2 linked regions of the Callithrix jacchus genome follow. The protein of the gene in region 1 interacts with the protein of each later gene in a biochemical or structural test. Links are inferred from orthologs where the notes say so. Each region holds a gene or a part of one and is shown in the gene's direction. Other genes may lie near its edges.

What was found.
Region 2: the proteins of CHAF1B (region 1) and ASF1A form a complex in vitro, tested with the Homo sapiens proteins (2 studies listed by BioGRID and IntAct). The link is inferred for Callithrix jacchus from reciprocal best matches to the Homo sapiens genes CHAF1B and ASF1A.

The regions. Positions count from the first base shown.
Region 1 is NC_133522.1:42,449,004-42,452,814, forward strand, and holds part of CHAF1B (chromatin assembly factor 1 subunit B), read left to right. Parts: intron 1-1,100; coding exon 1,101-1,242; intron 1,243-2,837; coding exon 2,838-3,269; intron 3,270-3,811. UniProt on the Homo sapiens protein: Acts as a component of the histone chaperone complex chromatin assembly factor 1 (CAF-1), which assembles histone octamers onto DNA during replication and repair.
Region 2 is NC_133505.1:125,224,942-125,229,219, forward strand, and holds the start of ASF1A (histone chaperone ASF1A), read left to right. Parts: upstream 1-1,398; 5' UTR 1,399-1,646; coding exon 1,647-1,755; intron 1,756-3,308; exon of another isoform or gene 3,309-3,604; coding exon of another isoform or gene 3,605-3,636; intron 3,637-4,278. UniProt on the Homo sapiens protein: Histone chaperone that facilitates histone deposition and histone exchange and removal during nucleosome assembly and disassembly.

The DNA.
Region 1 (3,811 bases):
GATCAGCACTCAGCCAGTGACCCCAGAGGGACCTTGAAGGCCTCTCGCTGTCTGCGGCTTTTGTCTCTGGCCCTCACTCTCCGCGGCTCTTGTATCTGGTCCTCTGCCGTGTGACTCTAGCTGCCTTGGCCTTACTGGACTCCCAGCTCCATCTTCTCAGCTCCGGGCATCTGCTGGGCTCTGCCTGGCTCCTCTGCCTTTACAAGGCCTGGAAACTCTCCAGGCAGTAAGTTGAAGAAATGGAAGGACTTAACTCGTTTGCTTCCATTCTCTCAAGGATCACTATCCTTCACTGCCGGTGTTTTAAAAGACTGCCTGGTATTTTAGGATTTTTTTAGGTAGGAGGGTAAATCTGATCCCATTTTCTCCAGGGCTGGAAGCAGAAGCTGTTTTTAAATTTTGATCCTTTATGTGATTGAATGAAAATCACTGGATACAATGTTGCTAAGTAACTCTTACATTTCCTTAAAGAAAGCAGCCTCTGAGATTATCTTGCCCCTGTCACACATCTTTTGTTTTCCCTGCTTTTTTGGCCCTTCTGTTCCCATGACTCTTGGTTCCTGATACACTGTCCTCACTGGTTCATGCATGTTCTCTCTATTCATGTGGTCAGGTATAAATAATACCGAGACCTGAATTTTTTTGTAAAGCATGTGGTAAACTAGCTTTTCATAAAACTGTGTCATTTAGGTCCCCCTGGAGAGAGGGCTTTGCTGGGGAATTAGTTGTTTCCTTTAAGAGCTTTGCTGTTTATTTACTCATTGAGGCAGAGTCTCACTCTGTCACCCAGCAAAGTGCAGTGCAGTGCAGTGGTGCGATCATGGCTGGCCTCAGCCTTAAGTTCCCGGGCTCCAGCGATTCTATCACCTCAGCCTCCAGAGTAGCTGGGACTACAGGCATGTACTCCCAAGCCTGGCTAATTTTTGAATTTTTGGTAGAGACAGGGTTTTGCCATTTGCTTAGGCTGGTCTCAAACTCCTGAGCTCAAGCGATCCATCCGGCTCTGCCTCCCACATTGCTGGGATTCTGGGTGTGGCCACTGCGCACAGCCAGAAGCCTTGTTTCTGCAGTTTCACTTTGTCTCTGTCCCCGACCCCCAGGTGCGGAGCTGATGAGTCTGCCCTACCGCCTAGTGTTTGCTGTGGCTTCAGAGGACTCCGTGCTTCTGTACGACACCCAGCAGTCCTTCCCTTTTGGTTACGTGTCTAACATACATTACCACACCCTCAGTGACATTTCATGGTGAGTGGCTGCTAAGGAGGGAGAGTGAGTAAAGGAGACTGTGGCCGGTACCCTGGAATAGACCCTGGGGTCAGGGAGTATTTTATTACTAAAGATGGCTTTGGGGGCCCTATTCACCTATTTTGTTTGTTTCTTTTTTTTTTTTTTCTTGAGACAGAGTCTCACTCTGTCACCAGGCGCCAGGCTGGAGTGCAGTGGCATGACCTAGGCTCACTGCAATCTCTGCCTCCTGGGTTCAAGCAATTCTCCTGCCCCAGCCTCCCGAGTAGCTGGGACTACAGGCGTGCGCCACCACACCCAGCTAATTTTTTTGTATTTTTAGTAGAGATGGGGTTTCATCATATTGGCCAGGTTGGTCTCAATCTCTTGACCTTGTGATCTTCCCACCTCGGCCTCCCAAAGTGCTGGGATTATAGGCGTGAGCCACTGCTCCTGGACCTATTTTGTTTCTTATTTGTTTTTTTGAGACTGAATCTCACTCTATTGCCCAGGCTAGAGTGCAGTGGTATGATCTCATTTCACTGCAACCTCCACCCTCAGGTTCAAGCAATTTTCATGCCTCAGCCTCTCAAGTAGCTGGGATTACAGGTGCGCACCACTATGCCTGGCTCATTCTTCTGGTTTTAGTAGAGATGAGGTTTCACCACATTGTCCAGGCTGGTCTCAAACTCCTGGGCTCAAGCGATCGTCCCACCCTGGCCTCCAAAGTGCTGGGATTACAAGTGTGAGCCACCACGCCTGGTCCAATTTTGTTTTTGAAAGAATCAATATTAAAAGGAAAGCCATTTCTAGTTTGCCACAATACTTGCTTCTTATTTTCACACTGGTGGGTTTTGATGGCATTCAGATGTCCCTGTGGGGTTAACTGGACTCTGATAAACTGAAGGGAGGCACTGTGGACTCCCTGACCATTTGGGAACTCCTCAGGCCCTCTAGGAGGAAGCCCTTCCCTGCACGCCCCTGCTGCCCAGGATAGGGAAGTACCACAAGCTGGGCCTGTCCAGAGGATGTCACTCAGCACTGCCCTTCTGCCACCTTTCAGTCAGCCCCCACAGCCTGCTTGGCCCAGGGTGAGTTTTTGTTTTGTTTTTTTGAGATGGAGTCTTGCTCTGTCACCTAGCCTGGAGTGCAGTGGCACAATCTCAGTTCACTACAACTTCTGCCTGCTGGTTTCAAGCAATTCTCCTGCTGCCTCAGCCTCCCGAGTAGCTGGGACAGGTGTGTGTCACCAAGCCCAGCTAATTTTTTTGGATTTGTAGTACAGACAGGGTTTCACCATGTTGGCCAGGTTGGTCTTGAACTCCTGACCTCAATGATCTGCCTGCCTTGGCCTCCCAAAGTGCTGGGATTGTGGGTGTGAGCCACTGTGCCCCACCTACTAAAGTGAAAATTGCTAGTAGCACAGATCAGTTGCAGCGACTCAGGAAATCACAATGGAACTGCTCGCGTGAGGTGCTGTCACACGGTTTTCTAGTCGTATCTTTTCCTTAGTTTTTGCCTTCAACAAAAACTTGTGATATGGCTTGAACTTCCTTCTTCTAACTAGATGTGAGCATGTTGGTAAGGTCTCTAACTTTTCCGTTTTGGGGACAAAGGTCCAGTGATGGTGCCTTCCTGGCCATTTCTTCCACGGACGGTTATTGCTCGTTTGTGACATTTGAGAAAGATGAACTTGGAATTCCTTTGAAAGAGAAGCCAGTTTTGAGCATGAGAACTCCTGATACAGCAAAGAAAACCAAGAGTCAGACACCCCGAGGGTCTTCGCCAGGACCCAGTCTGGTAGAGGGAATGCCTACCAGCAGAACCCAAGACTCCAGCAGCCCCAGCACGACCCCCCCACAGGCCAGACAGGCCCCAGCCCCAGCAGCTGTCAGGGACCCTCCCTCCGTCACTCCTGCTGTCAAAAGCTCCTTGCCCGGGCCTTTGGAGGAGAAGAGCTTGCAGCCCAGTAGTCAAAACACAAAAGCCCACCCATCCCGGAGGGTCACTCTGAACACACTGCAAGCCTGGAGCAAGACAACGCCCCGGTAAGAACTTCTTGGAACCAGAAATTGTCATTGCAAAACGAAACCTGAAATGCAAACAGAACCCTCCCAACCTGCTGGAGGTGGAATTTCAGGCAGCGAATACTTCATACCAGTAGGTTGCCAGAGAGATTCTTCGTTTTTTTTTTTGAGATGGAGTTTCTCTCTTGTTGCCCAGGTTGGAGTGCAATGGTGCCATCTCAGCTCACTGCAACCTCTACCTCCCAGGTTCAAGCGATTTTCCTGCTTCAGCCTCCGTAGTAGCTGGGATTACAGGCATGTGCCACCATGCCTGGCTAGTTTTGTATTTTTAGTAGAGATGGAGTTTTTCCATGTTGGTCAGGCTGGTCTTGAACTCCCAGTCTCCGGTTATCCACTTGCTTTGGCATCCTAAAGTATTGAGATTACAGGTGTGAGCCACCTCGCCCGCCGCCAGAGAGATTCTTAACTTCAAATCCAAGAGTGTCATTTCTTGCTACAGGCCTCTGTCTGTTCCTCCATTTCCTGCCTGGCACGTAAAGCCCAGGCTCCTAGGCACACACACG
Region 2 (4,278 bases), on another chromosome or scaffold:
TCAATCCACTGACAAAAAAGGAACTCTTCCCCACTCTGACATGGTTTTCCTAAATGTAAGAGGCGCTGATATTAGCTGTCTCACATTAACTTTCAAAAGACCATCAGATGAAAACGTTTCATTAAAAGGCACCTACTTAAGTACGAACAATGCCCAAAGAATGACAAATCAAAATTCTGGGCACTATACTAAGAGAAAATTCTTCCAAAACAGATACTTAAGAATTTTTCTCTCTGAATTTGGCCAAGTTTGGTGGTTTCATTCACAACATTTAAGGAAAAAAGTGATGGTTTATGGATAGCAGGTAATAAAACAACCCTTTACATCACTTACTAAATAGAAACGGTTTAGGCTCACAGACATGTTAAAGCTTCCTCTTTCCCTGCAATGGTAGTCAAGCCGCATAAACGAATCAACGTTTCCTCAGTTCAAACCCGAACTGGTTACAGGCAAGCAAGGGCTCCTGAGAATTTGCTTGCTGTGCTACAAATTTTTATTTACTAACGGTTTAGGTCAAGAATTTTTTTTTGAAGATCAAATGTCTTGCTATGCCTTTGTGTTCTTTTCCCATCTGTTATGTTTGTTGCCCTGTTGGTCTCCTGACACTTCCATTTTCTGTTCTCTCCAAATGGCTGTAACCTGGGGTATAACTAATCACATCGCTTGTGATTCTTTTCTTATTCTAGGACTTTCCAGATCTGGACTCGGAAGACGACGCCCAGGTGCAAGCCCAAAGGTTACCTATTTAGATTTTCCAAGCACAGTGTGTGGAAAATCATTCCTCGCCCTTCATTTTGTGTCTGCTTAACGGCGCTGTCGTGCCCAAACGTAGATACTGGCCAAGAGCTAGATTTCCAAAATGGCTTTGCTCCTTTCGAGCCGACATCGGTCTTTAACATGCAATTTATTTCCACTGCAGCTAATCATTCTCTCTACTCCAAATACTACCCGATACACAGAAAGCTGAACCTAACCCAGTGTAAACACGGACTCTCATCTGCTAAATTCAGCAAGGCCGTCAGAGCCTTTGCACCGATGTAAAAAAAAAAAAAAAAGAAAAAAAAGCGTTAAAACAAAAAACCAAAAAACAAAAAACGCCAAAACACCTCACACGAAACCAACTAGAGGGGCGGGCGTCGCCCGGATCGCGCCCTCCCGCCACGGCCACGCCTCCCCGCCGCGGCCACGCCCCTCGCCTCTCTCCGCGACGCCGGCGGCGGCCTCCGCGCGGGCCTCCCAGCCCTTATTCCACTCACTTTGTTCTCCGCCTTTGTCCTAATCCACACCAGCAGGTGGAGCCGCAGTTAAAGTTTCCGAGTCCATTCCGGGAGCGGGAGCCCATCTTGCTGGCTGCCGAGGCACTCGCTGGAGGAGGAGGGTCAGAGCTCGGGTGCAGCCAATCGAGGGCAACGCTGCTACTTATCAGAGCAGAATGGGCTGTAGTTTAGTGAAATAGGAAAGCTGCAAAACACTGTGGAGTGTTCCCGTGTAAATAAAAAGAGGGAAAAAAAAGTTTCTCAAGTCGCCGCTGCACGACGTCGGGCCGGCGCTGGGGCGGGGGTCTGCGCTCTCCCGGGCGGCCGCGCGCTGGACTTTATTGTGCCGCAACCAGCCCCAGTTCCCATTGTTTGTGTTTTTTTCAAAATATGGCAAAGGTTCAGGTGAACAATGTAGTGGTGCTGGATAATCCTTCTCCTTTCTACAACCCGTTCCAGTTCGAGATCACCTTCGAGTGCATCGAGGACCTGTCTGAAGGTGAGTGCGGCGCCCGCGCACCCGGGCTGTCAGTTGCGGGCTGCAGACGTTGAAAGTTTCCCGGGCCCGGCCTCGCGCTGGGCGGCCGTGCTCGGCGCCGGGCGGCCGCGGGCTCCTCTGCGGAGGGAAACTTGAAGTTGATGGACGACGGCAGCCGAGGCGCGCGCGGCGTTCCGCCGCAGCCCAGGCGTCTGCCGGGCTCAACTTGCGAGGAACTTGTTTGAGCCGAGGAGCGGAGGTAGCCATGTTGTCAGCTTTGTCTGCGAGCGGGCAGCTCGGAGACCGGCACTCGCGCCCGCGGCGCCGCCGGGGGTCGCGCGGGGCTGGCTCCACGACCAGCCTCCACGACCCTCCGGGCTTGGGCACGGAGGCTGGGAAGGGAGAGGCTGTGCGTGTAGTAGCGCCGGCGAGTTCGGAGCGGAGCCATCTTACCCCGAGTCGAGAATTGGGCCAGCGACCCCGGCGCACGGCGCCTTCTCTTGCCCCGCCGCCCGCCTGCCCTCCAGCCCCTGGCGAAAGGCAGGTAGTCAACTCTCTAGAGCTCACAGTGGAGTCGCCTCACTCTCCGGGCTGGCCATGCCCGGCCGCTTCAGAGAGGAGAGCGAGGCTGTCCTCGCGCTGATTTCTGGCTCCCTCGACCAACCAGCAGGGGAGGCGGGCACAGGCTCGGCCCCTCCGCGCCGCGGGCTGGGCGCCGGCGTTCCCCGGGGGCCGCGGGTCCTGTTCGGCCGGTCCTCCTCGGCCGGCGCCCGGGATGCGCCGGGATGCTGGCGCGCAGGCTCCCCAACCAACGTGGACTCCTTTCCCCTAATGACGAAAAGCTAATCTCAGGAAGAGAAATAAGAGCTGAGCTAGGAAGTTACATTTAACCTAAGAGCAGAAATTGGATACTTAAATAATTTCAGGACTTAATCTTTGCCTTCTAAATAGTCTTTAAGACTTTCTTCAAGGACGTGTTGAAATCTAAAATAACTCCACATCCAGATACACAACACACCCTGAACATGAAACACAAACGTAGGCTAGAAAATTAAGGTAAAATACTTAGTCCAAGAATTCTTTATATTTTTTTCTACATGTTTCAAGGTCTTAAAAATACGTATTTTAAAATATGTGTAGTAATATTTAGAAAGCTAAAACGACAATTATCCTTGCTTTTATTTTACTAAAGTAATTCAGTGCTTAATTTGCCAGTTTTGAAGGGGAAAAAGTTTAACTTCATCGATGAGGGACATCTTTGAATTAGAAGTATATTTTTAAAATGCATTGAAGATTTGGCTAATCATAGCATGTAAAACTATTTTCATTTTAAAAACTAGTTTTTAATCTCTAAAATGTATATATCTTATGTGAGTTGTTAACTTTATAAAAACAATATATGTTCATTGTAATAAACTTATAGAAAGTTGTACAGGCATATATAAAGTTAACAGTTCTCTGTGTTAAATACCTTCCCCTATCTCACTCCTTTAGGTAATCACAATTATTACTTTAACATGTGTGCCTCTGTTTTTTAAGACCTATGCAGAGCATAAATACACATATAGGGCAAATTTTAAAAGATAATTCATTTATTAAAATAATTTCAAATAGGCCATTGATAACATTAAGGGGTATTTTTCGTATTACTCTGAAGTCATCTGATTATTCTCTTACGATACTACTATTAATATAAGCATTGCAGCTACCAGCACCATTTTTCACACCCAACAGTCAGTAAATTTTTCTTTTTTATTGCCAATTGCATATAAAAACAGACAAAAGAAAAATCATTGGTCAGTCCATTCCAAATTATACCACAGTGTTCTTCAAATATACCACCAGAAGTTCTTCAAATTACAGGTATTTCTCAAGTGATGCCTTCCATTTTAGGAGTCAGCTCTGAACAAAGAAGATAGATGACTCAGGATGTCGTTATAGATGAAACCAGCCATTCATAGAAGCCAAAACATGTTCCATTTTTAAGTGGGATCCATTCAGAACCCAGCTGAATCACATCAGGGTTTTACAGTACTGGTGTCAAGAATATGCTTATTTCCAATGGTATATTTCACTTCCAAGGCACCATTACTGAGTATTTAGTATTTTAAAAAATATTTTAAGCTGAGTCATGCCAAAGCTGCAAAGGAATCTTTCAAAAAGGGGCCATGACTGTGTACTCCACCTAGAGGCTATGTGGATTTAGGAAATGAGTTTACTTAGCAAAGGTTTCTTATAGGTTCCATACTTTTATATTATAGTTTTTTTAAAAAAAAATTCTTAAACTATAGAAAAAATTTTTCTTTTAAATGAGACAGGGTCTCACTGTGTCACTCAGGCTGGGTGGAGTGCAGTGGTGCAAACACAGCTCCCTACAATCTCAATCAGTCCTCCCACCTCAGCCTCCTGAGTAGCTGAGAAGACGGTCAATGTACCACCATATCAGGCTAATTTTTTAGTTTTTTGTAGAAATGGAGTCTTGCCATGTTACCCAAGCTTGTCTCGAACCTCTGGACTCAAGCAGTCCTCCCACCCCTGCCTCCC